2 linked regions of the Lytechinus pictus genome follow. The main gene of each other region encodes a partner of the protein of the gene in region 2 in a complex. Links are inferred from orthologs where the notes say so. Each region holds a gene or a part of one and is shown on either strand. Other genes may lie near its edges. The genes, in order: H/ACA ribonucleoprotein complex subunit DKC1-like and H/ACA ribonucleoprotein complex subunit 2-like protein.

The links.
Region 1: H/ACA ribonucleoprotein complex subunit 2-like protein (region 2) and H/ACA ribonucleoprotein complex subunit DKC1-like share a complex: the UniProt entries of both Drosophila melanogaster proteins name them as parts of the box H/ACA small nucleolar ribonucleoprotein (H/ACA snoRNP) complex. The link is inferred for Lytechinus pictus from reciprocal best matches to the Drosophila melanogaster genes NHP2 and Nop60B.

Annotation. Positions count from the first base shown.
Region 1 is NC_087260.1:13,286,370-13,303,529, forward strand, and holds the start of H/ACA ribonucleoprotein complex subunit DKC1-like, read right to left. Parts: upstream 11,912-17,160; 5' UTR 11,704-11,911; intron 10,374-11,703; 5' UTR 10,316-10,373; coding exon 10,300-10,315; intron 7,606-10,299; coding exon 7,559-7,605; intron 5,795-7,558; coding exon 5,616-5,794; intron 4,856-5,615; coding exon 4,671-4,855; intron 3,466-4,670; coding exon 3,401-3,465; intron 2,851-3,400; coding exon 2,724-2,850; intron 1,872-2,723; coding exon 1,741-1,871; intron 1,144-1,740; coding exon 1,000-1,143; intron 264-999; coding exon 24-263; intron 1-23. UniProt on the Drosophila melanogaster protein: Catalytic subunit of the box H/ACA small nucleolar ribonucleoprotein (H/ACA snoRNP) complex, which catalyzes pseudouridylation of rRNA. This involves the isomerization of uridine such that the ribose is subsequently attached to C5, instead of the normal N1.
Region 2 is NC_087256.1:25,663,628-25,679,796, forward strand, and holds H/ACA ribonucleoprotein complex subunit 2-like protein, read right to left. Parts: upstream 9,128-16,169; 5' UTR 8,994-9,127; coding exon 8,831-8,993; intron 6,499-8,830; coding exon 6,429-6,498; intron 5,172-6,428; coding exon 5,066-5,171; intron 4,400-5,065; coding exon 4,274-4,399; 3' UTR 1,807-4,273; downstream 1-1,806. Other genes in the region: pseudouridylate synthase TRUB1-like, read left to right, coding at 65-121, 800-954; uncharacterized protein LOC129272326, read left to right, coding at 9,317-9,453, 13,390-14,404. UniProt on the Drosophila melanogaster protein: Component of the box H/ACA small nucleolar ribonucleoprotein (H/ACA snoRNP) complex, which catalyzes pseudouridylation of rRNA. This involves the isomerization of uridine such that the ribose is subsequently attached to C5, instead of the normal N1.

The sequences.
Region 1 (17,160 bases), on a different chromosome or scaffold from region 2:
AACATTAACATGCCAGAACATACCTTTGGCCCGAGGCCCCACTTTCTGGGGTACACGTCCCTCTCCATGATGACCCTCTTCAGCTTGACCACCAGGCCATGGTCAACTGTTGCCATGGTCGCTGTGGTCATCAATGCGATGCCAAGAGCAATGGCCTCTCCCTTGGTGGTCATCAGCACCACCTCCGAGTTGATCTCGATGCCGTCCTCGAAGCGGAGGACGCCGGGAAGCATGACCTTGGCACCGTAGCAGACAGAATTCACCTGAGGAGAGAAATGGGCAGTGAAAACAAAGTATAATAATCACTATCACAATATACCAGTAAATTGCGAATTGCCTCTGAGCGGCTGAGACTTATTTGAAGAGATTTGATGCCTCCATATAGAGACCAGAAAAGATTGAAAGGACATGGTGCTTTCACCGAAGGCAAGTTTATAGCCTAACTGAAGCAATAAAAACTTATGACCTATCAGTGGTGGAGCCAGGCGTGCATGAGAGGGATGCTTTAATACCCCTTTATATTTAAAATTGCCCCATGAAAATACATACTCATCTAAGTAAATAAAAGAAAATTTGCCATCTACAATTTTCAAATATTCTCTTTCTTTACCAGGTGACATTTATGATGTGACAGCGCAAACACTTATAAATTTGAGTGCAGCGGTTGAACATAACAGTAGGCAAATAAGTGCATTTAGATTGGCAAGTACAGCGCTGGATCTAAATTTGTGTCCAGGTTGGTCATTTGGGGAAGGATCCACCTCGACTGGATTTAGAGGGTGAGAATGCCCCGAGCCCCAGTGTAAGTTTATTCCTCTATAAGTCTAAGTAAACTGTGGATACAACAAATAAACCAGGCATTGTTTTCAAAAGTATATTGGGAATTATTAATCCTCTGATGGGCTGGAAAAATAGAAATTGCCAGACAATCCGAGGATGAATAATTTCCTCTATACTTTCTCAAAGCATGGTATATTATTATTATTATGACCAACTTACTGAGCTGTCTTTGAGTACTATTCTCTTGTGACCCGTAAGCAAGGCTTCCATCGGCTTGATGACTCTCCTGAGGTAACCTTCATCTTTATGGTTGTCGTGAACCCACTGGGCATCCATGACATCGTGCATCGTCACCAACCCTTCCTGAGGATACAAAAACATTGACAAGACAAGAGATGATGATATTCCGCTTTCATAAAGTGCAACTTGGGCGATACCGCAATGCTATCAATTATGTAGGTCCGACCGTCTATATGTGGAAACGTCCTGAAGTAATCTCTCTCTGTTTATACATTATATTCTTGTTTATATGAAAGGTTGTATGTATTACTATCAAATTACTATGACTTGAGCAGTTCTCAAAGTAAATAAGAATGGACAAAATAATATGAAGATTGAAAGTCCAAAATGACAGATTTGCAGACTTGAATTCAAACTTAATGAGGATGCAGTTCAAACGAGCGGAGCACTATAAAATGATCTCAGAAGTTGCAAACAGTGTACTCCCAAGTGTTACGATGACCTAATCTATCGCTTACGATGTTCACCTCTTGGGAATGTGCCATAGATATGCAAGGACATGAATTTGACAAAAAAACAGTCATGAAAAATGAAGAATGAGAGCAGTTGTCTAATGCATGTGAATAGCTACACTTATTGCTCAATAAGCATGCCCCAGGAGTTGTGTTTCAAATTTAGAGCTCCCTATAGTAACATTGGAAATAAAAATAGCCCACTAACCTTTTCTGACTGAATACCGGATCGCACTCTCCTGAGTTCTGCCATTTGACCTCCGACCCCTAACAGGAGTCCAAGATGAACGCATAGTGTCCTGATGTAAGTTCCAGCTTCACAGCTCACCCAGAAAATACCTGTCATAAGCCAAACGATGGAAAAGTAGAGTAAGCATTCATACTATGGTAAGATTTTATATAATAATAATTGGCATTTGTATGCGCTTATCAATCTACGACTGCTCAAGGCACTTCACAATTATTATTATCTGGTCACTGGATTCATAGCATTTCAAGCAGCCTGTTAGGGCGCACATTTGCTAAACCAACCACAATGACGGTTGTTTCCTACCGGTACCCAATTAGCACTTGGGTGAGAGTGGCAAAGTGTGGATTGACACATTGCCAAAGGACAATAGGCCATGGTGGGATTCGACACACGACCCTCTAATTACAAGGCGAGAGTCAGAACCGCTACACTCGGTGCTCCTTTTCATCATTGATAACTCCAGCAATTTTTTTTTTTCACTTTGTTCACAAAGATGCTTATTGCATGTATTTTCCTACGTCAAAAAGGACATCGCAAAATCTGACAAATCTGAGTGAATTTTAGGTACAAAAATCAATCACAAGTCATACAATTTATTTAAAACGTGCAATTAATTGCCATTCTGCTCCTTAAATAAAAAGTTATCTGGTTTGGTTGTAACTGATCTATCGGGAATTTTCAATTGACATCCACACTTGATCACAAATATGTTTCTCGCAACATCCCCTCAGACCTTGTAATATTATGTTTCAGAAATTCACCATCACCAGAGGATTTTTCCTGACTAATATACTCTTTGCGTATCAGATGCAAGGATTTGTAGTAGCTATTAAAAATAATAGTCAATTGAAATCACTATATTTTTCAATGAAATGCTCTAGTATTGGAGGTGAAACTGAAGAGCATATCACTCTCGGGGATTGTTTAAGCTTTCCACCTACCTAAATGTCTTTGTGGGTCGTATTCAAGGAGTTTGCTCTCGTATATCGTTCTCACTCTAAGTTGTCGTTTGACGGCCGATATTAAAGGCGGTCTCTGGAACAGTGCTCCTGTCAGTGTCTCAATAGCCTTTACAGAAATAAAATTCAAAGATTAAATTATCAATTTGAACAAAGCATATTGTGATAATAACACACACACATTCTCAATCTACAGTTCAATTGAAATGTATAAAGAAGTTTCATAATGAGAATTAAAATATTTGATACGAAACAAAAGAGGCTAACAAAATGCTTGTATCTCTGCTGTGCAAAATCTTGGTACTTTTGAATAATGACACATTCAATGGATTGTATCCCCATAAATAAGACTAGCTCCATACTCAACTAGAACTTAAGTCCACACTTCCATCAAAAGCCAGAATTCATCTTTCAAACAATATTATTGCCAAAAATATATCTACCAAATAATTAATTTAAATTTGTTTCAAACTTAAATTTCCCAACCTTTTTATTCCTTTTTTCATATCTTAGATAGTTTTTCCATGCAAGATTACAAAAATATTTAGTTCAATTCAATAACTTGAGTAAGCGGCAACAAGCATTCCATAAAAGGATAAAGTTCACCTAGGATTGACCTTAATCAAAATTGTATGAGAATAACAACCGATATATCTCACCTTGGCTAGTTTTGACTGGTTTTCAATAGCTTCATGTAACCTGACAATGCAGACATATTCCTTGCCTATGGACAGAGAGACAAGGCATATCATGTCAATACAGGTGCTTAATGATCAGGCAGAGCTGCCAAGTTGTATTTTGCATTTTCAGTATTCTTATCCCCCAAAATCAGTATTTTGACAAAAAAATCAGTATTTTTACCGTGTGAGATAAATATTTTGTATTTTTCCCCAAAAAAGTGTATTTCATAATAAAATGCTTGGCGCACTAGCCCATCACGGCGCTAAAGCTGCATGCAAGCTAAAATGTGCACTGCTCTTGCAGATGAAAAAAAAAAAAACATTGAAACTTGTGTATATCTCACCCTGGTTTTTACAAAATGATTGAAAAAAAAAAACAAGTTACCTGAAATCACATTGATCTAATAACCATATTTGTGTACGTTTTATGAAATAGAGACATATAGAGATGATTTTTCTCAATAAATTTCGATTTTGTAAAAAAAAAAAAATTAAATACAAAAATTAAATACAAAAAACGTATTTTTTAAAGAAAGAACGTACTGCCGTATTTTGGTTGCAAAAACGTACTAAATACGGAAAAATCGTACTACTTGGCAGCTCTGATCAGGGGACCTTGTCTTACAAGATGCTTTGATTGACATGACCAATCACAAATAGGGAAATTCAGAAGCACTATCGAATTTAATGCATGTGCATCCTGACCTGATTTTTGCAGTACAGATTGCACACTGGTCCAACCAACATTGCTTCTCTTGTTTACAAAGGATCTATAGTTCAAATGCCTCATCGATATGAAGAATCATGAAATCAATGATTTTCCAGTTAAGATTGATCAGATCAATCACAACTCTTGTAAGACAGTGCCCAGAAAAAGAAAACAAACCAAAATATGACATTAACATTACATCTTTTAATACAGAATACAATAAGTACATCACATTTTTTTCAGAATTTCTAATGTTTCACCATTAGACAATTTAGGGTTGCATAAACCTTTTACTTTCTATGGATGTTAATCTTCATTATAAAAGTAATGTGTAAATCCTGAAAGCTGAAAAAAAGAACTAAAATAGAGAAAAAGCAACATTTCTGATTTTCTACATACAATTCAAGATCATCCCACATATTTACATGTATACAAGAGAATACAAAATAATCAAATTGATATATCTTTTTTCCTTTCACCAAAGATAAGACGTTTCTGATAAATTTAGACAGTTGGGACGAAAATGATAATTAATCCTACCTGCACTCTGCTGTGATTTGACCAATCGTGTGGCTCGTTCTATACAGACAATGAGGCAACCGGTGACCTTGGGGTCAAGGGTCCCACTGTGACCCGTCTTCTCGACACGGAGAATCTTCTTGATCCACGACACGACCTCATGAGATGAAGGATTGGCGGGCTTGTCAAGGTTGATAAAACCACTCCTGAAAATTTTAAATGAAATTCAATAATTCATGAAAATATGATTACCTTTCAGTCAGTATAAGTGGAAAAATGTGAATAGATAAGTCAAATATCACAATCATCCAGGGGGCTCAATACTAAAAAATAGCCCTGGACAATAGCAAAAGACCCCCAAATTCCACATTTGCTGCAATGTTAAGCTTATCCAACATTGGAGAATTGGGCAATTCATTGTGAAAAGTAACCCCCGAAAATAAGTAAGTGATTTTTTTTGCCTGTGAAATTACCTTCATTAGAACAGTGAAGGAGAGATTTTTAGGGCAGGAAAGGACACCCATAGTAATAGCCTCTGTAACCTTGGACTATGCAAGACCTGATCACGACCCATCCAGAAAAGAAGTCAGGTTTTCTCTTTTGCTTGTTGTTTGCTTTTTTTTCCCCATTCAAACAACCTGAATTAGTGTTTTTACCACATAACTCTTCTTTGCCAATTTGATGAGTAATGTTGTGTAAAAATATTTAAGAATAACTCTTTTCTTTGCTCAACTTCTACCCAACTTTTACCCCAAAGTTGCTTCTCTCACTCTCATACCCATAATCCTTTTCAGGACAAAGTGAATGAGTGATACCAAAAGCTGTACGATGTACACAATCATCCATGGAGCTAGAGACATTTTCTGAAGCGCAAACCAACCTTTTTCAATGATAGGTTACTGTAGGAAGATCTTAAAAACTCGTTAGCAAGTCATTCCTTAAAAAAGTCCAAGATAGCATACTCACGAGACATAATCCTTGATTTCCCTTTTGAGGGGTGAGCAACCATTGGGTAATGGTGTATAATGCCCCGTTCTGATGTTTAATTTATCATAGTTCTTTAGAAGCAAGGGCCAGTGGGCCGTCTCGAGTTTGGCTACGGCCGATTCCGGTTTGATCAGGAAATCTGCTTCATGCTGAATATCCTATAATAAGAGAGATGAATTTATTGACATAAGATTGATGAACAATTCATCTTCAGATGCTAAGTAATTTAAAATGATTCAAAGTTTTGTGACAACTTCAATTCTACATACAGGTGTAACTACCTGGGAAAAAAGTAAACTTCACAGTTAGTGACTCTGGCTTACTGAGTAAACTTCACAGTTTTTTACTCTGGACTACTGAGTTTGGAACAATATTTTCCATATTGACATGACTAGTGACTTCAACCTTTTTTAAACCATCAACAATAGTAATCGTATATTCAAACAAGTGGAATGCCTCTGGCCGTCTCACCTGCATCACGCGATTCAATATAGCAGCAGTGCTGATTTTGAAAACTACTATAACTCGCACAAGATGTTCAGTGATACTTGGTTACTCTTATTTCCACGTTTTATGAACTAGACCAATACACTTATAGAGATATGATGGCAATTCAACAAATACCCCCAACGTGGCCAAAGTTCTTTGACCTTACATGACCTTTGACCTTGATCATGTGACCTGAAACTCGCACAGGATGTTCAGTGATACTTGATTACTCTTATGTCCAAGTTTTATGAACTAGACCAACACACTTTCAAATTTATGGCTGTAATTCAACAAATACCCCAATTTGGCCAAAGTTCATTGACCCTAAATGACCTTTGACCTTGATCATGTGACCTGAAACTTGCACAGGATGTTCAGTAATACTTGATTACTATTATGTCCAAGTTTCATGAATCAGATCCATAAACTTTCAAAGTTATGATGGTAATTCAACAGATACCCCCAATTCGGCCAAAGTTCATTGACCCTAAATGACCTTTGACCTTGGTCATGTGACGTGAAACTCATGCAGGATGTTCAGTGATACTTGATTAACCTTATGTATAAGTTTCATGAACTAGGTCCATATATTTTCTAAGTTATGATGACATTTCAAAAACTTAACCTTAGGTTAAGATTTTGATGTTGATTCCCCCAACATGGTCTAAGTTCATTGACCCTAAATGACCTTTGACCTTGGTCATGTGACATGAAACTCAGGCAGGATGTTCAGTAATACTTGATTAACCTTATGGCCAAGTTTCATGAACTAGGTCCGTATACTTTCTAAGTTATGCTGTCATTTCAAAAACTTAACCTCAGGTTAAGATTTGGTGTTGACGCCGCCGCCGCCGTCGCCGTCAGAAAAGCGGCGCCTATAGTCTCACTCTGCTATGCAGGTGAGACAAAAAGTAAAAAATTATCAATTAAATCAAATTATATAAATTCAAGTACAGAGTATATTCAAAAAAGTAAAAATTATCAATTAAATCAAATTATATAAATTCAAGAGCAGAGTGCCAGTTTGACTGCATGTATTATAAAAAAAAAAAATTTTAATAATGATAATAATCTTGGAGGTGCACCCTACATACCACAATGTCAAAATTTCTTCTCATCAAACAATATTAATTACCATTTTCAACTCCATGAAATTTGAGTTTAAATTTATCACTTTCTCTTCATAATAGATGTTTCATCATCCACTCACTTTACCCAAGGTACATTCAGTATTGATGAATTTAGTTTCATTTTTAATTTAATAGGTAAATGTAATTGATGCAACAGTCAAAGTCTAAATTGTATTTCACTCAATTATAAAAAAAAAGTCTGAATCATATTTGTTACAATGATCAGAAGTTGTCAAATTCTTGTGGGATTTTTAGAGAAAGGAAGGGTTGGGGAAAACAGGTAGCGTAATAAAAATGTCTTACCCCAAGTGATTTGGACTCCTTGCTCTTTTTACTCTTCTTGCTTGATCCTTATTAAAGAGAAAAAGAAAATTTTTACAAAATCTGTTTAAACAATACACAAACAATCACAGCACAAATTTGGTGGATAGTTCACCTCATGATTTATGTTGACACGAAACCAGTGCGTACTTAGTTCATGAGAGACTTTCTCTAACATTCAACCTTTCCCATTTTTATTAGCAGAAGCACTAACCCTTCTCAAATGAAGATGTTGCATGGCATTAGCTTTCCCAATATATTTCTGTAGAATAAGGCCTATACCAATGCCCGAAGATCAAAAACAGCTCAAAATATTCCTGCTTTAAGTTTTATACTTCATCAAACTCCCGCGTCTCGAATGGACTTTGTTTTCTCCAATTACAATATGAACTGCAGTTAGCCATGTTAGCAATTGAAATTAATGCAAACATTAGGCTTCAATTTACAATCGCACAAGAAAGAAATTGTCAAATCTTGATGATTTTCAAACGATACTTCAGCGATCGGATCACGAGCCAAGACAATTGCAAGTGCGGAAAACGAGGCTGGATATCATTATTTATCACTATCGATACTTTGAATATTTTTTCGGCCAAATTATTTTTTTGGCCACGTGACCATGAAGTGATCTGCGCGATGAACTAATCAGCGGTCTCCGAATCGCTGCCGTGAGCTGTGCGGAGCTTGGCTGTTTGTGCCACACAGAGTCAATGGGAAATATTTCGATGTGTTTCTTTCAAAATCAGGATAAACTGTCGGTTTTTTTAAACAAGCAAAATTTCAGTGATTTTTTCTATTGAAAATGAATGTGAAAAATCATGAACTTTTCATTAAAATATAAGCATTTCTTATTCCAAACATTTTCAGTTTTTCTCAGTAATATTTCAAACAGAGATTACAGGTTTGTAAAACATACATGAACATGATTCCACTGACCAGAATATACTCTTTCACATCCAAACTTTTAACAAAATATAATCACGAACTGTCAAATTTGTGTTGAAAAAGGGGACAAAACATGGACCATTTTGGGCTCATCATTCAGCACAAACTTGGACAAATCTTACTAATTACTAGTCAGTAGAGGCGCACGGCCAATATGGGAGACTCTCTCCAATAGGGGAGACAATCTCCCACATTGGAGACTTGCTTTGCAAAAGGACAAAAGAAACAACACCAACAAAAGCATGATTTTTTCAACCCAAAATTTTGTCTCACTGAGGTCAGAAGCCCATTTGTTTTGTGTGTGATTGACAACAAAAATCCTTATCAAAACAAAAGTAGACGGTGAATTTTCAAAGTAGACGGTGAAAAGGGGTAATTTTTTATGAGGAATCTGCTTAGGCCTATCACATTTTTATTTGCCGCCAAGTTAATCCTTTTGCAGCAAATGTAAACAAAGGAAATTGGACTCCAAAACTGGAGACTGTCTCTGAAATCTGGAAATTGGATACCCAAATTCTTTACAAAAGTCTCTGATATTGGAGATAATCTCCCACATTGGAGACAGTCTCCAAATAATATTGGCCGTGCACCTCTACACAGCGAACAATTGTGTACAACGGATAGCGGAGCGTGAACGTAGCGGTCGTGTACATTTTTGCTTATTACATGACGTCATCCAGCCACTGCCGAGAGCCAATTTATGAATGAAAATATAGTAAGCATGCGCAGTGCAAGCCTTCCATTTCCCCACACAGTATTCCACCAAAACAAGTGTGCAATTCTCTATCACCTCCTAGCAAAATCGGCCTAGAATTTCACTTTCCTATATTTTATATGAATTATGAAAGGTATTTTCGGAGGATCTATTTTCTCACCCATACCACACAGGTAAGTGAATTTCGATTACTTCTTGCTTTTCCGTCAAAATCTTACGAATTAGCGTCTGTATGTCATTGTGTTCATTGGAATTTGTAGAGTCTATCGCAACGTACTCAAAGTCAATTGGCTTCCGGGTTTCGGAGCGTCGCGTGAATATGCATGAAATTGCAGAGTTTCGATAATTTTCGATCGATACCGGAGTGATCCGATCACGGACCAAGTCCATTTTCCGTGTACACAACGTGACCGGATATCGTTATCGCTATCGATACTTCGGCACACAGTCCGAAGGAATTATTTTTGGGACCAAGTGGTCATGACGTGGTCTGCGCGATTGACCAATCAGCGGTCTTCGAATCGCTGTGCGGAGACGATCTATCCGTTGTACACAGTCTATGGACAATTGTTCGTTGTGCTCTACTGCTAAAAAGTGCTAGTGACTATTTTTTAATTGGTAAAAAGAAACCTAAATTGGCAAAAAAATGACAAAATTAACTTAAAATAGTTAAATGGAGGTGTGGGGCTGGCAAGAAATTCAGAAAATTAATGTGCTTTCAGCATGTTCAGTATTGTATCACCATGCAATTGTGCCCGCAATTGTTAATCAACAGCATTATACCAAACAGTCCACCAGTTTATGCAGTCCCCGCCCGCTCCGCTGGCCCATCCAAATTGAGCCATGCAGCGCAGCGGGTACTCACGAAGCCACGTGCGCGTGGTCGACCGTTTTTCACGTCCACGTTGATCACCAAAACCCACTCGCAACAATTTATACAACATACTTCAACAACAGAACTCATACACAATTCATGATAATGTTGAATCACATCAAACAACTATAGTAATTCGTATATCATACAATGAATAACAATTTAAGGCATTTTTAATTGAATATTCACCTGCACTCCCATCCATGTTTACCCTCTAGTGCACTTCAACGGAGAGGGCGTGATCATCGAATTGAAGCTGCGGGCTAGAAATATCGGTGATGAAAGAATACATGGTAGTTTCTATTTTATTTTATTTCCTTTTCTTTTCCTTGTTTTTTTTTGGGGGGTAATTTGATAGCAGATTCTTTTATGAATGATATACTTTAATTCCTCGTGAAAATTATTACCTTATTTCTCTAAATCTATATTCATAATCTTCTATGATTTGTGTAATGTATTATCACTCAACCTTTTTACGGTATATAAATTGCCAATTCGTCTATTGCAACACAATCGTCCACTCATCACATGGTCTAACTTCATTTAGTCTACTCTAATGCCATTCTGTCCATCAACATTTCTCCTATAACAACCATTCGGTCCAAAAAACATTTGGTCCAATCATCACTAGATCGTCTGACCATTTCGTTTAACCATTTGGTCTAAAATCCATTTAATTTTCTTTCATTTCGTGCAATTAACATCGTTATATATTCCAATTAGACAAAATGGTATATGGACTATTATTTTGGCTATTGGACCCAGTGGCGGACCGTGACCCGGAGGAGACAAAGCATTGGAGGGGCACAACATTGTTCACAAACAATACAGTGCCCCTCCAATGCTTAGTCTCCTCCGGGTCACGGTCCACTACTGATTGGACCAATTGGTTATTAGACGAAATGGTGAGTGAACAAAATGGCAATTAGACCAATGCAGATAGTGGACGAACTGATGGTAGACCAAATGATAGCTAGTAGACGAGTTGGTATATTTATGGACGATTTGGCATTAGACCAAGTGATAATACACCTTTTTTACCCCCTTCCCCCCACAACTCCTCACGGCATGCATACCGTTACGCAGTGGAGTAACTACGCGGGGGCACGTGCACCCCCCCCCCCCCCAAGCTGGCCAAAAAAGGAGAAAAGGAGGGAGAAAGAAAGAGAAACGTAGTGGGGGAGAAGAAATTATTGTATATTATACTATATTATATTATATTATATTATATTATATTATATTATATTATATTATATTATATTATATTATATTATATTATATTATATTATATTATATTATATTATATTATATTATATTATATTATATTATAGTATAGTATAGTATAGTATAGTATAGTATAGTATAGTATACAAATATACTTTGCCTTGAGAGTTTCTGGTTAAAACTATGGGCAAGAGGTGACTCCAGAATAGTACTATTCACTGAGGGGCGCAGCCCCGAAGTGAATGGTACTATTGGAGGCACCGAGGCCCATAGTTTTAACCAGAAACTCGAAATTATGGCAGAGTATATTTGTTTTATATTTTGGATTAAAAATTTTAAACAAAAGGAAAAAACAGAATAATGGCTTACCTTTTATCCTCTCTTGTCACTCTGATGGTCTTGTGCTCTTTTCTTAAATAATATCAAATTTTAATGAAATCCAAGTTTTAATAGTCAATGAAAATGTCTGAAAAAGTCAAAGCATAAACTGTAGTCTAAACATTAAAAAACGTAGTCGCCACGTCGCGAGAGTCGCCCATGGTAAGCACTCGAGCTCTCGTATACCCCGCTGAATGTTGGTGATTTTGATATCACGCGCATCAGGCGTATGGCGCCGTGACGTCATTTCCCCAAATAGTTTTACTATTTGGGGAAATTACGTCACAAAAATGACGTAATTTTCCCAAATAGTATGCCTAGCTGCCAACATTCCAAAATAGTTGAAAATACACATAATCACGTGAAGCTCTTTGAGCCAATGACCAGAGGATAAATTTTTGATCCAAAATATAATATAGTATATTATTGTATTGTATTGTATTGTATTGTATTATATTATATTATATTATATTATATTATATTATATTATATTATATTATATTATATTATATTATATTATATTATATTATATTATATTATATTATATTATATTATATTATATTCTATTCTATTCTATTCTATTCTATTCTATTCTATTCTATTATATTATATTATATTATAGTATATCATATTATATTGTATTATATTATATCATTATCATATCATATCATATTGTATTATATTATATTTATTTATATATATTATATTACTTTTTTTTCATCCTTTATGAAACATAATTATTAGAGCCTGGCCTTCCTGGTGCTCGCATTATCTGTTTAATGAGATACATAGTCCTGTTCTACTAAAACATTTCGTTTTCAAGTCAATTAATATACACCAAATATTTCCCGGCACTTACAGTTATTATTGTTTTATGTATAATCATGGGCGGAAATCTGTCCCGAAAGGTAGGGGGGACCACAGGGGCGGATCCAGCCTTCGCCAATAGGGGGGGGGGTTCAGCCATATTTTAATCCCCGATTGGCCGCTCGATGATGATTTTTGTTTGTTTCATTAAAGGGGTAGTCTTCGTGGTCACTTTTTAGCTTTATTCTTATAAATCAACATAAATATATAATATCATAATCAATATTTATATAATGCGAGCGCGAAGCGCGAGCAAATTTTTTTTTGGTTTTGTTTAGGGGGGGGGGGGTTTTATGTATTTTTTCCTAAAATTTTGAACATTCTGGGCAATGTTTGCTATCCTGAAAAAGATGTGTATGTAAATGAATAATTACTACGAACGTGAAGCGCTAGCAGAAATGAACTGATGGATAAGGTACCTGTTACAGACTGCTTGTAGTTAGCCATGAAGACGTTACATATTTCAACAATTAAATAATGCGAGTGCGAAGCGCGAGTTGAAATTTTTTGACATTTTTACCTAAGGAATGAAAATTCTAAGCACTTTTTGTAATTCAAACAGATAGGCATATAATTAAACAATTGATGCGAGCGCGAAGCGCGAGCGGAAAAAAAAATCGAGATTTAGACCTAAAAACGACACACTCTATTCATGTTTTGTAAATCATGAAAAGAATGAGTAATAGGGGATCTTCCTACATTAATAATGCGAGCACAAAGCGCGAGCAGAGTTTTTGATATTGTGATCTGAAACTGGATAACGATTTAAATATAGAACAAGTTGAGTATCTGAATAAACATGCGCGGGCGTGTTTCATATTCAGACCTAGAATCTAGGCATTCTACACATCTTTTATTATGAAAAATCAGAGCGAGCGCGAAGCGCGAGCTTAAAATATATGATATTCCAATCTGAAAAAAAAAGTTAATTTCAGCTATTTATTTCAAGCACTTTGTAGGAAAATCGTGAGGTGGATATGGATCGTACTTAATAAAGAGCTGATATTTTTCATTATTATTTGAGATTTGACATAGGACTGGGACATCCTTAGGACATGTCATATGAAAATGATGACTATCTTACTATCCCTCTTGCTAAGCGCGAGATGAAACAAAAGGGACAATTTAATCATTAAATTAATATCTTATTTATTAATGCCTAATGAGGGGGGGGGGAATCTGATGATATTATGGCCTGAAAACTGGACATTTCAAGCACTTTTGTAATTCTGAATAGAATGCATCAGTTAAAAAAAAAATTTTACCATTAATGCGAGCGCAAAATAATAGGTACTTAATAAATCGAAATTTGCGAGCGCTCAGCACGAGCAGAAAATTTCAATATTCAGACCATAAAGCTATCATTTTAACAGAGCACCTTTTAAAAATCAGTTTGTTAATCACACAAAATAATGAAAGTTCGATTTCCGAGGTGAAATGTGTAATGTATATTGACTTCCAAACTTGATATTTAAGATCCATGTTGAACAATCACCTAACAGGCAATGCGAGCGCGAAGCGCGACCGAAAATTTTATATAGTGACATGAAAGATTCTTTTTATTTTCCAAGTCTTCCCCTCATCTTATTTTATTCACTCTGGAAAATTTGACAAGCAAAAAAAAAGTTTTCACCCAAAATGTAAGGTCATTTAGTTCAAAAGACATGTATTATTTCGAATGTGAATGATGCATTTTTTTCCATCATAAAAGACCAAAAATAGTAGGGGGGACATTTGATATTGTGTCCCCCCTACTATTTTTGGTAGGGGGGACACGTCCCCCCTGTCCCCCCTGGGATTTCCGCCCATGTGTATAATAGTGACATATCATGACTATACTTGAAGTGATTCCCCCTTTTAAGGTCTATATACACATAAAAAAACATGCACAGTCTAGGCTTACGTTCGCATTAGTGGATTGGTGAGATATTCTGCTCTTCATGAATTCCTAACTGAAAACAGTCCTTAAAATGTCCCTTTTTCTGTTCTATTATCAAAAATTTTCAGCTCGCGCTTCGCGCTCGCATCATTGAAATATGTATGATCTTAGTGAATTTTAAGCCCAAAATGTCCCTCTTAAATGTTGCATATTCGTTCATACCCAAGGATGATAAAAATATAAAATCATTACCTATAACCTTTTGTGACATGGTGGTAAGGTGTTTCTGTTTATAGGGCAATTAACTTTACCTGTATCCCTACATTGGGTAAAAGTTTCAGTTTCCACATACCTGTACGCTCTATATTTTCAATAACATTGATCCACCGATATTATTCAGGACTTCAGAAAGCCTGTTTGTGAAATACGGCACAAAATAATAACAGTAGCGTAAGTATAAATATTTGAGTGGCCAGATCGATATGATGTATCAGATAAAATTATAACAAATTGCGAGCAAGCGAAGCAAGCTAGCAAAAATTTAGACATTGTTTCCCAAATAGCCGATTTTCATTGTGATATATATATATATTGTCAAAATAGGCCTACATGTCGACCTATACATGTAGGGCCTAATCTATTAAGCCATTAGTTTCACCCTTCTCTCTTTCCCCGGTCTCTTTCCTTTTCTCTTCCTTTTTTCTTGGTCGTGGAAAATTGGGGGCAAGCGCCCCAAGCCCCCCATCTGTACGCCACAGATTTCATATCAGTTTTCTGAATATATCATAGAGATATATATCTCTATGGAATATATACATATGTCAGGGGCGGATCCAGCCTTCGCCAATAGGGGGGCGGAATTTTTTTTCAGCCACATTTTCCCCGATCTGCCGCTCGAAGTTAATTTTTGTTTGTTTCTTTGACGAGTAGTCCTAATGGTCACTTCTAAGCTTTATATATGTATATACATTCATATAATATCATAAGCCTTATTTAAAAAGTGCGAGCGCGAAGCGCGAGCAGAAATTTTTAATATATGCGTTTTGATCTGATAAAAAAAGGATCTGTTAACGGCAGCTTCTTAGCCACGAAGACGTTACATATTTCAACTATCAAATAATGCGAGCGTGAAGCGCGAGCTGAAAATTTTGACATTTTTACCTGAAGAATGAAAAACGATAAGTATATAACTAAATAATTGATGCGAGCACAAAGCACGAGCTGAAAAAATCTAGATTAAACCTAAAAATGGGACACTCGATTCATATTTTGTAAATCATGAAAAGGATGAGTAATTGGAAATCTTCCTATATTAATAATGCGAGCGCAAAGCGCGAACATAATTTTTTTTTTTTTTTTTTAATATACGTTTTGATCTGATCAAAAAAAGGATCTGTTAACGGCTGCTTTATAGCCATGAAGATGTTACATATTTTTAGAGCGATCTGAAAATTTTGACATATCTACCTGAAAAATTGAAATTCTAAGCACTTTTTGTAATCGTGAAAAGGATAAGTATATAACTAAACAATTGATGCGAGCGCAAAGCGCGAGCGGAAAAATTCTGGACACTCTATTCATGTTTTGTAAATCATGAAAAGGATGAGTAGGCCTAATTGGAAAGTTTCCTACATTAATAATGCGAGCGCAAAGCGCGAGCATGCAGACAATTTTTGATACTGTGATCTGAAACTGGATAATGATTTAAATAGAGAACTAGCTGCGTTTCTGAAGAAACGTGAAACGCGTGTTTCAGATTTTGACCTAGAATTTGGGTATTCTAAATACCTTTCTTATTATGAAAATCAATAAAGTGAGCGCAAAGCGCGAGCTAAAAATATATGATATTCCGATCTGAAAAAGGGTCAATTTAAACTCTGTATTTCAAGCACTTTGTAGGGAAATTGTGAGGTACCGTGGATATGGATCACAGTTTAAAAAGAGCTGATATGTTTCATTATTTTTACTTTGAGTTTTGACATGGGACCGGACCGGGACTAGCATTTTTACAGAGCACAAAATCTGTTAATAGTATGGCCTGAAAACTGGACATTAATTTAAAGCACTTTTGTAATTATGAATAAGATGCATTAGTTAATATCTTTCAATAATCAATGCGAGTGGAAATCGGTAGCCGAAATTTATGATAAACGGGGATTTTAAGTAGTTTGTTTTAGAATTAATATTGAGATATACATAACTATATAACCAATCAAAATGAGCGTGCAGCGCGAGCTGATACGTTTTGACAATCTGACTGAGCTGAATAGGGATATTTTGATAACTTTATGGAATACAGAAAAAATCATAGGTAACTGACAAATAAAATTTTGCGAGCGCAGCGCAAGCAGAAAATGTTAATATTCAGATAAAACAGACATTTTTACAGAGCCCTTTTTAAAAATCAATTTGTAAATCAAACAAAATAATGAGAGTTCAATTTCCGAGCTGAAATATGTGTTGTATATTGACTTCAAAATTTGATATTTTAAGCTCCATATTGAGCAAGATATGTAAACTACCTAAAAGGCAATGCGAGCGCGAAGCGCGAGCGTAAATTTTATATCCCGACATGAAAGATTTTAAAATTATTTTCCAAGTCTTCCCCTCATCATATTTTATTCACTCGTCTTCCTCCTCTTATGTTTCTCCTTCTTTTTTCTCCTCTCTTTTCCCTTCTTTTTCTTTTTTTTCTTTCTTTC
Region 2 (16,169 bases):
AGAGCTTTACATACATTCCATCAAATTAGTAATAACATTTTTTTTACCTTTTATTCTTGATTAGAAGTCCATTGCGGGGGAGGATTCTATGTGAGAAAACTAATCCATGATATTGGAAAGAGTAAGTATACTAGTGTATTAACTTTTATCATTATAACGTTATGCTAAAAAGTGAGTGAACCCCCACCACATAATACACTCCTTCATGCTGACCCCAGAGTAACCGACCTTATTGAATGTAGTATTCTATCACCTGACTTCACAATTAAATATAAAAAACATGGCAGAGCTTGAACACTTAAAATCTCGTCATTTTCTGGTAGGGTCAGTAATTTTTGAGCACCATTGTATATTATCTTGTATACATTTTTTTGCATCATCCTCTTTTCAATCCAGTTATCTGTTTATTTATGTCATACTGTGTTATATTTGAAAGAAGAAAACGCCCCCAAAAAGGATGAAGTTGAATTTTAAGTTTCATTGAACCATAGAGTCCTAATTCTCTACTTTTATGAAAGAATAATAATAAGGAAAGAAACTATACATAGAAACTGCACATAGTTTTGCAGGGGCCACTGAATTACTCTGAAAGGAGGGGAGAGGGGGGGGGGGATTCTGGACAATGAAAAAGCACAATGAAATGGTTATTTCTTATGTTTTTGTCCATGTTGCCCCTGTTGTATCAATTGCCTCCAAGACATGGGCCTTTTTTTTTTTTAAAGTAGTAGAATAACGGTAGTACAAGGCGAGGTGGAATGTTAACCATAAATCGAGAATCCAACATTTTCTTTTTCTTCAGGTCTCGGAACCTGTGCATTCATGACGGGGTTGTGTCGGACGAACCAAGGTTGCTTTCAGCTAGACCAGCATGCATTGCCAGAAGAGAAATGGACATTGGAGGATATAGTAAAAGCCCTTGATGAATTTCATACCATGGATCCGGGTGTTAGGTGACCAAGCCCAAACAATGTATGGACTCTAAACAGGACTGTAACACTTGCAGTTTGCCAACCACTTATGAGAGCAGACTGAACGAGAGACGTCTTCTGGTAATAAATTTACACCTTTCGTGCAATCTTTGAATGGTCCAGGAGAGCGTTTCATGATAGGACATGTCGGACGTTTTATATGCCAAGCTGAAGTGTTCTTGTCAAGCTCAACTTTTTAGAAAAAAACCAAAACATTTGTAATGTTATGTATATGAAGGAAAAGGGACTTCCTCCTGTGGGCATCGACTCACTTATTTGCATTTCCGAAACAATGTAGATACACCTGTACTTTGAAAATAATTTTTAAAAGGATTTTGTAATTTTAAACTTTTTTTTTCAATTTTGATTTATTTCATTGACTTCATTGTTCTGTATTTTTCATTTATTTTGCTACTACTATTGAAAAATAGAATTATAACAGTTTCCTTCACTGATTATTTCTCCTTTTTTATCCCTCATTTACTCGCAAATTCCTCGTCTCTTAATCTATTCCTCACTTTCTCTATTTTGTGTATGTTATCCAGGTCCCCTCCTTCGTAACTGCCGATCACTCTCTTTCCCAGATTCTACCTCCCTTTGTTACTCTTTCTCACTTGAAATCCATCTCTTTCCCTTTCTTTTATACTTCATTCTTATTATTCCATTGAATTATGTCACAGAATTTAGGGTATTGTAATCAAAAGATAAAAATCAAACAAGCATAACGCAGAAAATTTGAAAAAAATCAGATGTAAAATAAGAAAGTTACGACAATTTAAAGTTTCGCTTATTTTTCACAAAACAATTATATGCACAACTCAGTGACATGCAAATGATGTCCCTCACTCACTTATCTTCTTTTTATTGTTTGAATTATATAATATTTCAATTTTTACAGATCTGACAATAAGGACCAACTTGACTAAACCATAAAATGTTAAAACAATGGTAATTCGACATGTTCAGGGAGGAATTAAACTTTTTTCCACAGTATAACAGGGAGAAATTGGAATATTTCAAATAATAAAATACAAAAGAGATAGTGATGTCATCGGTTCCCTCATTTGCATACCGACCAGGATGTGAATATAACTGTTTTGTGAAATTAAGAGAAAAATAAAAATGTCATAACTTTCTTATTTTACATCCGATTTTGATAAAATTGTCAGTGTTATTCTTGTTCGATTTTTCTCTTTTTATTCAAATCAACTTTTTGTTGGTGTGGACTTGTCCTTTAATACAGCTATTTTTGGCACATTTGTGTGCTTCAATACATGCAATGGTGCTGAATAAAGCTTGCCATTCCTTTACAAAGGGAGTTTACTGGTACCCAAAATATTTGTCACTGTATTTCATTTTAACATGGAAATTTGCTTTTCTTGAACCTTCACTTGTTTTCAGTCATAGAGGGCACTCCATTGCGCTATATGTAATTTATGCATGGCTTTATAAATACATACCATAAAATATGGCAGGTTGATGACCAGGGACCCCGTTTCATAAAGAGTTCAACTGTTGTATCTTTGCCACTATGGCAACTACCATGGTAACCTTGATTTTGATTGGCTGCTGAGCCATGTTACCATGGTCGTTGTCATAATGGCAAAGTTACAACAGTTGCTAGTCCTTTATGAATCAGGCCCCTGGACTAGCTCACCTTTTCTTGCCATTTTGATATTGCATATCAAAATAAGCAGCGACACAGACACTTACAGGTTCTAAAAATCATAATGCCTCAACCAAATCCAAGTATATTGTACATCTCACCTGAAAATAATACTTCACACCCAACAGAGCTCTTTATTAATCAACAAAATGGTTAAAACCTGCTTGATGGAAAATAATCAACGCTAAATGCCGAAGGGATTCTCATCCATGTGTATTACAATTATTATTGATGGATAGATTTGAATTTTCGGAATTATGAAGAACAGTTTATATACCCCTCTACTGACATAATTCAAATAAAAAATATAAATACAAGTAATACTACTGATTCTGCTGTAATTTCTTTACAATAGATAAAAATAAAAAAACAGAGACCAGTCAGGCTTTTATTTACATGTACATATGTTACATCTTTTATTAGAACAAAAATATTGATAAGAAGTAAATGTCATACAAAAGGTGTTTCCATATACATAATACACCCTATAAAGTAAAATTCAAGACCAGAAAATGGTTAAGTGATCATATACAGTACAATAATTTCACTATGGCTTTCCTTGTCCCATTGTTTTGTCTATGGAGAATGGAAGAAGTAATAAAGACGACGCTGAGTAGGATCTTGGATTTCCTGCGTAAAGACGCTTTTTAATGTGGTTCAGAATTGTGAACCTGTTGACTACTAAATTCTTTTATGCCCATAGACAATCTACACAGACGAACTGGTTTCAGTAGTCAACATGTTGAAGGCACCACAGACTTACAACAAAAAAATTTACTCTGAAGCCCCAGTGACACCAGCGAAACTAATCCGGACCGACCTAAGCTTATATACATCATTTCCCATGACATATCATTGGTCATTTAGGGATCGGTTTCGTTTGTGTGACTGTGGCATATGAAAGCATCAGCTGTTCTGCAAAATACGAGGACAGGTAACTCCCTAAGTCGACCTTCCATAAGATGAATATTTGCTCAATTTGAAGTAACTTTTAGACCTGGGGCCCGTAACACACGATAAGCAATGATCGTACAACATTTATCTACGATTGATTCCATTGACTATAATGTACAATCAATCGTGAAAATCAAGCGTACGATTAATTGCTAAGCTTTGTGTGACGGGACCCAGATTATTCAATACATGTGTATAATACCTCTTCGAAGTCAAATTTCTCCCATGTCGAACAGATTTCTGTGGTTGCAAATGATTTAGGCAGAGTAAGTTGTTAAGTCATTTTAACACCTGGGCACCGTTGCAGAAAAGTTACCATTATTGTAACTTTGCCAACCAATTGTAACTTGCATTGAATCCTTGATTTTGATTGGCTCTTGATCAGCGTTATTACCATGGTAGTTACCATCGGATGGTAAAGTTATCAAAGTAGTAACTTTTATGTGACGGGGGCGTGAATGGAACATGAATGATGGAGTCCAGCTTAATGACCATGAAAATATAAATAAGTCCTTTCCATTTTGCTACTTTTATGAATTCTCTCAAATGATCAGACTTTGCTTCAATGTTATCCTATCATGATTCCACAAATTTTATCTCAATGAGATCAGCTTGGAATGAGTCCATGATTTCTTGATAGTTCTATCTGTCGAGTCCTATATTATGACCAGAATGTCTTCTCTTCTCAGATTGGAGGGGGTAGAGCCTTCACTAGATTATGGCATTCCTTGTAGCTGTCTTCATAGTCTGCATGCTTCTTCACTAGGATGCAGCATGTCGCCCTCTTTGCCCCGCTTGAAGCTCCCAAGTCCTAAAGAATGAAACAATTTATCGACCGTGAGAATCAACAAGTGAAAGTTGGACATGAAAAGAAACTTGTGATCAATTTTTCCAATGCACATCAAATTTTTCCAGAGATGCCACTTTGAATTCATAAAAAAAAGTCTGAATATCCTCACGAATGATCATACACACACAATAATGTGTTTTCTATGGTTGAAAATAAGTTGATTAAGTCTGAAAAGCGGCATTCTTGATTATTTTTCATCAATAGCTGGTCTGCTTTTTTCATGATAAATTATGGAGTCAGCTCTTGTATGTAATCAATTGTAAAGTTAGAACTGATATTCACAATTGCAAATTCCTTTTATTTCTACACATGAATTTGATTGCAAGTGTGTGTGTGTGTGTAAGAAGTTTCTTAATCAAAATCATATGTGCAAGTTTTCTTTCATACAGAATGGAGTATTCTCATTGATGAACTATCCCACACTATGTGTAATTTTGCCCTGTAAAGTAAACCATGTTCTAGGGTCCACTCAAAATGTGGACTCATCGTGACACGGATATCACAACAAGGTAGAACAATGTCAAAACTTCTTCTAGAGTCCATAAAGAATTTGAACTCACTATTATGCTCATTCAATATTCTAAACTTGTTTTCTCGTAATATAAACAGTAACAGATCTATACTTACAGATTTTGAAGGTACATAGGCATAGGGCATATCCAGGTCTTCGCAGACACCGGGCAAATGACACATAACTTCAATGGGTGTTACATCTCCAGCAAATACCACGAAACTGAGAGAAAAAGGGAGGGAAGTAGAGTACAGGGAAAATGGAGAGGGAGAGAGATAGAGAAGGTGGCAAGAAAGAGAGAGCAGAAGACAGCATTAGGAGAGAGGGTGAAAGGGGTGGGGGTAGTGTATTATTTATTCATTTTCAACACGAAAGAGGATATGAAAATCCATATTTTGTTCAAAATAGACATGAAATACTCCGAAAATTCGCTTTGCCCAATTGATCGTGGGCCAGGCAGCCGCTGTGCAACGCGAGATCGACGAGGCGCTATCCCTTTATTCGTTGAACGCCAATCAGGGTAGCAGCAACTCCCATCTTTTAATATATTTTGGTCTGACGTGGCCAGGGTTTGAACCCCCGACCTCCCGGTTGTGAGACGGACACTCTGCCAACTGAGCCAACACACCGGTCTTGAGTTTGAAAATATATCCTAAATAGTAATTGATTCAAATGGACTTCTCAATATATTTCCATATCACCAACCAAAATAGGTTAACATGAAACTTTACATCATCAAATATGTTGGACAATTGCCTTGAATTAAAGGCTCAAAACCTTTAAGTACTAGCATATTCTACACCACATTGGTGGGATTGTTTTCAAGTCAATTTTAATCCCACTTTCAATTCAATTCAAAATGATTTGGCCAAGTCTATTTATTCTAAATTTATAAAGTTCAACTGATCAATGCAGTCCCAATATACTTGACTTTGATAGAAGTACCTGTACAATATGTTTCCTTTTTAAAGTACTTTAATACATGTTGAGGTAAAAGTTATCTATTAATACTTCATTCCATCATAATTCTAATTGACATTTGATTCACATAAAAAAGCAGCATCAATAATGCATAAATTATAGAAAACAGAAGTTTACAAATAACAGAATACATATAACATAATACAATCAGTCCAGTTATAAGGGAAAAGCTTCATTTAAGTCAAAGAAATATGATGGGACCTAACTGAAAGCAAGTAATCTTAAAAGCAAGCTTGTAAAACTGCAGCCTGGCCCCTGTGAGACAAGTTGCGAGTAATTACTTGTGGAAGACGGATAAACACCAACCACATTTGGGACGAAATGCATTCCCTAAAGAATTACCAAACAATGTTTTTAAGCAGACAACCCCATCCCATGTCCACTGTCGCAAAAAGAAAATGGGTCCAATCTCAAGAAATGAGGATTGGCACTTTAATATTTGCCATTCTGTTCACCAGTAAATTGAATCAAGGACAATTCAATAAAAAAAATACATACCCTTTCTCTCCCTTGCGTAGAAACTTCTGAACTTCTTTTACCCCACGTCTGACCATCTTGACTTTACTAGCTGGGAAGAAAAACCATAAATATATTAAAATGAAACCAAAGAAAAATCTGGGGCCGTATTCCGAAAATTGTTTAAGAGAAATATTCTTGTATCTCTGGAGTTACAGTATAATAAAATCCGTATTCTGAAAATTCTTGTATCTTTTCTTGTAACTTTCACTGAGCGCGTATGTCAGAGCTATAATGATGCGTAATGAGGCGCCTAAATATCTTTGTGCGCAAGATAACATTTTGAGATATACCGTATGTAAAAGGTATTCTGAAAATTCTCTTATCTTTGCGTTCTGATGACTTCCTTGCAAAAATACAAGAAAATTTACAAGAGGTACGGGGCTATTGTAACTTAATGTTGAATGCGATACTTCTCAGTCAACAATAATAATTTCTTGCTGCATCCCACAAGAACATCATGTTTTACAAAAGGAGACATTCCAAAGAAGTTATAACTACGGATTGTTAGACTCTTCAGCAATTGAAAATTGGCATTCGAGATGATGGTCCTTTTCAAAGAAAATATGACTCTGGGAAAAGCCACATGTATTTTAGCGCAGTAGTGTACAAGCATAAGCATCGGTGGCGCAAAGGAAATTACGCGGCGTGTCAACAATGCACTTAACAATTTTTTAAGAAGGACGCTTCTATTGGTTGACCGAAACAGATCTGTATAAACAGTATTAACTGGGAAAATCCCAATTTTCTGACCAGCGCCTCTACTGATAAAAAGTTTAATTATTGGTTGATAAAATATTTGGCGTGTCAGAGATAAAATAGGGGACGTCCTTACAGAGTCAGAGATAAGACAATTTTCAGAATACCGATTTAAGAGAATTTTAGCAAGCTGTTTTATCTTGCTGAATTACAAGAAAGGTTAAGACAATTTTCAGAATACCACCCCTGGTCTCTGCAATACTTTTGAATGTATTTGTTTCGATGTAAAAAGTATGGCGATTAAATTTTTAACTCAATGACAATGTGGTTTAGAGTGATAATTTTATTCTTCTCATTCCAAGTGGCATACCGCATTCATCTCATTCCAACTCTCATACCGCCATCTACAAACCCCAGGAGGGCCACTTCCATTGACGAGTGGATACCATGCGCGACCATGGGGTCTCGAAAAAGCACCCTAAACTAAGTAAACACGGATTTTCCATATTCTGAAAATGCACCCCTTAACAATAACAAGTAATTGCGTGTGATGAAACCCTACCCTTAACATTAAGTATTGGAAACAAAACGATACTCTTGGCAAGTATTCTCTGAATTGAACCTCTGAAGTACAGACCTTCTGTACCAAAGATAAGAAACTCAACGAGGGGCACATAAGCATATTGCTTTATGTCTCAACATCCAAGTAAATAAGTAACCCCTAAACAAGTACAGCAATATTTTATTTTTAATTATGTCATTGACGTCGGTTTTACCTTCTACAATCGTTGGGTTTATTAGTACAGCCTCACCTCCCACACCTCGCGCAAATCGTACTCTAAACACGTAAAGTGACGTAGTGTTGACTCTTTGGGCAAAAAGTACATCCTTTAATTTTATAAAACAATTTAGTCTTTATTTTTATACCATCGCAAATTTGACCCTAAATACGTAAAGTGAAGTCAGTAGAGGCGCACGGCCAATATGGGAGACTCTCTCCAATAGGGGAGACAATCTCCCACATTGGAGACTTGCTTTGCAAAAGGACAAAAGAAACAACACCAACAAAAGTATGATTTTTTCCACCCAAAATTTTGTCTCACTGAGGTCAGAAGCCCGTTTGTCTGTTTGTGTTGTGTGTGATTGACAACAAAATTCCTTATCAAAATAAAAGTAGACGGTGAATTTTTAAAGTAGACGGTGAAAAGGGGTAATTTTTCATGAGGAATCTGCTTATCACATTTTAATTTGCCGCCAAGGTAATCCTTTTGCAGCAAATGTAAACAAAGGAAATTGGACTCCAAAACTGGAGACTGTCTCTGAAATTGGATACCCAAATTCTTTACAAAAGTCTCTGATATTGGAGATAATCTCCCACATTGGAGACAGTCTCCAATATTGGCCGTGCGCCTCTACTGGAAGTAGTTAGTAGGTAGCAAAAATAGATAGGCCTACCCTTTTTCTGTTATTTTAGTGTTTTTGACACCCTTATATTACCATTTAGTTTACGTTACGTAACGTACCCTATCTTGAAAAAGACATCCTTTTCACGTGTTTTTTTGGTTGCACATGGTCATGGTATCCACTCGTCAATGTAAGTGGGCTACATTACAAACATAAAATAATTTTATAAATATGAACACAAACGTAAATTCGAATGAATGGGACTGTATTTCCAATTTCACCTTTTTTGATGACTTTGTACAATTTTTTCGTGAGTTTCCTTGAAGCCAAAGGATTTGCTATGGGTGAGACACGAGCAACAAGTTCATCATATGTGAGTTCTTGTGTTTCAGCTTCATCATCAGCGCGATCAATCCCATTCTTTACTGCTGCTGGTGACTTCATTTTTAGGCTTATGATGTTGATTGGTCCACGTGTTTTGTACCGCAACGTAACAGCAATACGATTCGTAAAAATACGTACAAGCTATGCCGCCGATGGAGGCGGCGTGGCGCTTTCAGAGATTCCGGTGACATTTACTGTGTTGTAAGGTCGCATATTAATTTGCAACGTCGTTCAAGAATTGCATTAACTATTCTTTTGCACCCCGAAGCTATTTTCTTTCTTTAAAATAATATATTTATAAGTAGAAAAATACTTATTTGTATAAAACCCTTAGATATAAAAGCGAAATTAATAATCAAATTGGCAACTCTTAATTACCAAGCATGGCGGATGAACAGAAAGAAACAGACGCGCCTGGGAGCGATGGTTTTTCAGCTCAGAATCAGCAAAATGACGACTCAAGCATGGGGAATGACGGAGGAGAAAATGCAGAAACATCTCCAGGATCATATAGATCGAGGTTCGTGTATGGTGTAACTTTAATAATGTTTTTTTTCCCTAAATAATTAGCGGTAAATAGACACCCCCCCGAAAAAAATGTGTGTGTGGCATGGCAAGTTCTGCCTTCAATTTCCGTGGCCTACACACGTCACACGCGATCGACGACGCAATTCGCGGGGCAACTCCAAGTTCCGCAAAGAAGTCGGATGTGTAAATCGCGTCACGACGCGACATAGCAATAGCATAGCCATAGCCATAGGGCGGCGTTAGGGCCTAACGTTAGGCCCTAGCCGCCTAGGTTAGGCCCTAGCCGCCTAGAATGACTATGGCTATGCAGCTAAGCCAATTTATGGAAAGCATTAATGCTGTATGCCTGCAGTGTAGTGTACTGTAGTGTAAGTCAGACTAGAGCTGTGAATTGTGATCAGAATGGATGATGATAGGCGATGCACGCCGCCAATAAACATGATATGATAAATAAAATTGATGTCGGCAAAAAATATCAGAATTTCAAGTTGTTGATTTAATGTCGATTATCTCAAAGTTTTGGGGATATTTTAAATTTTTTGTTGGGACATGTTTTAGTGTGTTTTGACGTGCTAGCGAATAGGGAAAGAACTCTGAGTCTTGTTTTCCGAAAAAGAAATGTATCTGCAGAAGACCGAAGAATCATTTTCCTAGAAAGTCGCAAAGGCAAAAAGTCCCAATGTCATTATGGTCACATATCAATAAACCAGCGCACGCACGACACTAGCACTGGTCCGACGGTGCCAGACCGGTAAAAATTGCTGTTGCTGGGGCCAGTAACTTTTCAGAAATGGCAAGATTTACTGGTCCGAAATGATCAGTAAAAATTATACCCTACTGATACAAATTATATTTTCTTCTCTTTTAGAAATTATGGCTCTGGTGTCTCACTAAAAATGTTCTGCAAAATTGAGAAATGGCTCTCATGAATTATGTGTTTGTGTACTGTTTTTTTTTTGGGGGGGGGGGGGATAACAATAAGCAATAAAAGACGGCAAAATAAACTAAAGCCTTTTTTATGTTTTTCTTTATTTTTGGAGACCAGTAAATTTTAGGTTCGGACCAGTATTAAAAAATGGTAGAACTGATTATCTACTGGTCCGACATGATCAGGTTGGGCCAGTAGCATAATAGGGTTAGTGTGGAGCCCTGAATAAACCGTCGATTGATTTTAGGTAGTAACCGCTAGAATAACTTTCATAAACCTGCCGTGGCCGTTATGAACTCTAGTCAGCCAGTTCTCCAAAAAGAATTATAGGTCTAAATGATGCAGTATGTAGACAGCAGTGGAAAGGAAAATAAAATAGAATAGAAGTTGTAAATATCTCAGATTACTTACGGATGATCAGGAACATTTTAAAATTGTTAACAAGTAAAAACAAATTTTAAATACCTTTCGTTATGAACTCCCGTCCTCCAAAACAAATTATAAAATATAAATGACGCATTATTCAGACAACCGCAGAAAGAAAAATAAAACAGAATAGAACTTTGAAGTCATAAATATCTCAGATTACTAATGGACAATCAGGAACATCTTAAAATTGTTAACAAGTAAAAACATTTTATATACCTTCTGTTATGAACTCCCTTCCTCCAAAAAGAATTATAAATGACGGCGTCAAATTAGACTCTTTCTGTGTGTGCACATGTGTCGCATTGTCGATGTACAGAGCCTTAGTACAGACAATAGACAGTGTCAGCGGGGCAGGCCCAAGAGTCCGAGGGTCCACGAGGCCGATTACTTTTCCCATGAGACCGAAGGTCCATGAAGCCGATTTTTCTTCAAGTGTATTTTCTTTCATGAGGATTTTTTCTATCAGTGGAAAAGTTTCTGCTTAGCATTTTCGCCATTGAAAACTGAATATAATGTTATAATATGATGCTTTCGTAAATCGGGACAACAGGATTAATGCTTGAGTATCATCTCACCCATCATTAAGAAATGTAGCTGTTGAATCCTTTTTTTCAGCTGTTTATTCTTTAGAAAAATTTGAAACTTTCATTTTAAACATTTTCTTATTGTTATTATTTCTCGGTTATGTTTTTTGCTTGGAAATGTAGATTTTATCCCATTTCAAAACAGCAAGGTTAAGACAAACATAAATTGACAAAACCAAATATACCAATTTCAAAGAACAACAGGAACTTACTAGATCTATGAAAATGACATTTGAACTAATTTGAACTGTCAAATTCTGGACTTAGATTATAATTTAAAGATTAGAATGTAAATTTTTTGATACACTCCGAATGTTTCAATCTGAATTTGTCATTAAAAACTAATGAAACTTTAACTTAAAAGTCTTCATAGCATGCCTTGAACTTGGGGTCTTGAACTTACACTTTTGCCTATATAAGTTGCGACTTCGTTGATTAATATTGATGAAGACAAACATTCTGATTAACGAAAATATATGATTAGAGAAAAGTCGGCCTTGTGGACGCTCGTCCTCGTGAACCCTCGGCATCGTGGGAATACCTGTGTCAGCATGGTCAGTGTGTGTGTCTGCGCTGGTTTTGTACAAAGTCACTGCCATGCCATGATATGGGAGTGGAAAGATGTAACCAGCGCTAATGAAATAACGGCAGTGAATTGCGTGGTGACTATTTCACAATAAAAGCCAAAAGAATAATTTCATAGGCCCGAATTCACAAAGGTGGTTTTGAAAACCCACGGTTGAATCCATGGTTTATGCAGATTTTATGCTATTTTATGCATGAGTCCACTGTTTGAAGAGTGGACTCATTAATTCAAAACAGTGGACTCATGAATAAAATAGCGTGGATAACCACGACAACAGGCGTCAAATTGGCGCACTGACAAAAGCGCGCATCAGCATTGGACATTTTTTAATATACATGTACGCGGTAAAATAAGCGTAATTTATACAGGAAATCTGCATAAACCATGGACTCAACCGTGGGTTTTCAAAACCACCTTTGTGAATTCGGGCCTTCTAGTCTTTAGTTTAACTGTCCTTGTCATATGCCTGTGGCTGTAGATGCATTGGTCCATCAATTGATAAGGATCATCCCAGAGAACAAGGATATCCTCTTAAAGTTCCCAAGACAAATCATGACTTGAATTCTTGATGGAGATTGTCCTTGTTTAATGGGAACATTTTTTTTTCACTCCCTTCTGCGGGATATAAGCGGTAATTACGGGAATCAAGGGTGCTAAAAATAGATTCTGTGACCTCAATCCCCCCTCCTCACCCCTGCTCACCAAATATTTTGTGATGTTATGACAGCTATGAAATTCAAGATTGTAAGATTTGCAAATGTTTCTCATTTTCATTTATTTTATTTTAATTGTCATTCTGAATTTTAATCTTTAAAAATTTCATTAAGGGTGCTGTAAGCCTGTAAGTAACACAAGCTTGGCATTTGGTTGTGGGGGCAGATAATGCACTTGATTACATGTACATGTACATTGGCTGATTCATATGTCCATTTTACATGTAGCACACAAAACATTTGTTCAATTGATGCTAAACTTTTTTTGTGTGTGTTTCTGCCAAGTCAGTGAATGAAAATACATGTAGTTGGGTTTTGTTATTGTTACATACATCCCTTTCCTGTGTATACTGTAGTACAAAACCTGTAAGCATTGATTAAAGATACATGTATATCCACAGAAAAGCAACAAATCATCTTGAATACTGTAGGCTTACTTCATTGTATAGTGCCATTATGTCAGCCATGGAGTCAAAGGAACTGAATAAGAGTCAGCGCAACTTCTGAGATCTTCTTGTTCTCATTCGTCAGGACTGGTTATGGCCAATATAAACAAGACTCCTAGTACAATAGGTAATCATTACATGTGCCTGTTACAAAGTGCTCAACCTTGATTAAAAGCTGAGAGAATGATTAACGATGAGAGACGTGAGTGACCAATTCCAACCATCATTTTCTTGCTCTGCAGAGAAGACGGGAGTGAGATGGAAGCTTCAATAACTATTGACGATGAACTACCACCAACCTTTGTCCGGCTGGCACCAATTATAACCACAAGTGAAGCCATAGCGACGGGCGAGTCAACATCCAGTACCCCATCAGTCGAGGGAATAGACCAAGCAGCATCGCAGAACGAAGGCACTCCTGGGTCAGGGGATACAGAATACAAGTTTGTAGATGGAAAATATGTTCAGTACACACCTACAGGTGCGGAGGGTGATGGAAGCCCACAGTTAATGGATTTCAATGGCAAGTCGTCCAGTGTGGCCTCCGTTGATGGTGGCCAAGGATTCATATGTAAAGTGTGCGGTGCCTGGTATAAGCTTCGTCAATCACTGAACTCGCACATACAGGACCAACATCAAGGCAAGCGATTCAAGTGCAGCAAGTGTCCCTACAGCACCAATAGGCGCCATGACCTCTACCGTCACGATGGGCAGGTGCACAGGGGTTCCGCCAAGCAAACAGTCCCTCTGGTCAGTCCATTAGCACCAAAGTCCAAAAGCAACACGGTTGCAGCAGCCCTGAAAAAGCGCGAGGAAAAGAAATTAAAGAAGGCAACCGCTGTTGGCACCACCAGCTTTTCCGCAACCAACCTGTCTGCGACCAACTTGACCCCTGCAGGCTTGAGCACCTCCAACTTAACCACAGTGAACTTAAGCTCTCCTGTCATTAACATAGAAAACAAGTCCGTTCGACAGGTCCTCAACCAAGGAGACGTTGCCAATACCCAGCAGTTGGTTGTTGTGAGTGACGGGATGCAGGGAGCTGTTTATCCTGGGTCATCTTCGCCTCTGCAGGATCAGGTTATGAAGTCGGGATGGGTGGAAGAGAATTCAAGCAGCAGCAAGCCGCACAGGCAAACAGAATCCTTTGAGCACCAGCTCCCAAGCGGTGCCATCTTCAGACGCATCACAGAAATCACATTTTTCCCTGATGGACGCATTCAAGAGACTCGTACAGAAGAATATGAAATGCCATGATTTCTAGAATTGAAAATATAACTTGGTTTGCCAATTCATTAGTCAAATTGTATTTATGTCAGTCTATGTAAAAGCATGCACATGAAAAAATACCATGTAAGGAATACATTACAAGTGATTTTATTTATGAGGTCAATATGTCCAAAGTAGATGACAAAAGTTTTAAGTTGGAGACTATTGAAATACATGTAAAAAACATGGGAAGGTTTTATGGTAGAAATAATTTGCATTTATTTATAAAGATAAAATCATGGATTGGTAATTGTGTATTTTTCTATTTTTGTGATGAATTTGTATCAAGAGGCAGTACAGCGTGTTTCAGAATAAAAAAAATATACATGATTTCGGTTAAGAGGTCATTGAATTTGATTTGAAGGAGGTCTACTGGATGACAATATATACATACATGTATGTACTTGCATGAGACAAATACTCTACATGTATTACATGTAATTTGTTTTTGTTTTCAATGCCATTTGGCTGTACAGCAGCCCTCAAAATGGGATTTTTTTCAGGAGCAAAGTCATTTCAATCAGGGGCAAATTTAGAGGGGTGTATGTAACCCTGAAAGAAGTTTATTGTAAAAATAGCAGAAGAAATAATAAAAAAATATTGTTGAAAGTTTTAGAAAAATCCACCAAAGAGTAAAAAAGTTATCAGCATTTTAATTATTTGATTTGTGACGTCAAATGCAAGCAACTTTCCTACATCATATGGTACATTGTAACAATCAATGAAACATCATTTTCTCAGAATATTGAAAATGGTTTTTGCTCTCCATGTACATGTACAATTAATTTCACACCCGTTCCTAAAAAGTAAATAAAAATATAAGTCATCACGAACTTTAAAAAATTAAAAATTTAGGTATTTTATATATTACATAAGATATGGGGCAGCTGCTTGTTTATGATGTCACAAATCCAAAACTAATAAAATACTAATGATTTTCTTAATCTTAAATGGATTTTCCTTAAACCTTCACCAATATCTTTCATTATTCTGCTGTTTTTACAACAAACTTTGCTTCAGGGTGAACTTCCCCTTTAAAGTATTTACAATTGTGAGAAAAAGGACAAATACTAAAAAGGGGGCACATTTTAGTTGCATTAACTTTGATGAAAAGGAAGAGGGCATGGAGGCCATGGCTACTGGTTGTTTCAAGGCATACGTTCAGTTTGTGGCATGTCTGTTCATCAGATTGGATAAATGTTTAATCTGCAAAAAAGATTATGTGTTCTGAATTAAAAAAGTATTTGGGCTTATTGGGGTTATTTCATGAAAATAGTTCTTACAAAAAGTAAAGAACTGTTTGTGAAGGATCAAATTCAAATTTATGTGTGAATAACAGTGAACTGATATGGATTTTTGCAGGTCACAAGGTCAAAGGTCGTAGACTTCATTTTCATGGCTCGTCACAATTACTTACCGATCCAATAAATACCATGTAATTCAGAATTAAACTTGGTTTATTTATACATGGAAATGATGATCTGATGAGATATTAGGAAAGTTTTTTTTTTTTTCAAATAGAATTTAAGAATTATTCAATATTTTTTCAGATTTGGCAATGGACAAGCAATACATTTTGCCTATATACACAGTCGAGAATCCATCTACAATTCTACATGTACCGATAGTCTAATAATGATTGAAGGGGCATCTAATTTATGTTTCCATTGTTCAATTGGCAAAAGGAGATATGAAGCACAGTAACACCTTGTGAAGTGTATTTTCCTACACTACAGGTATATGTATATCTGGG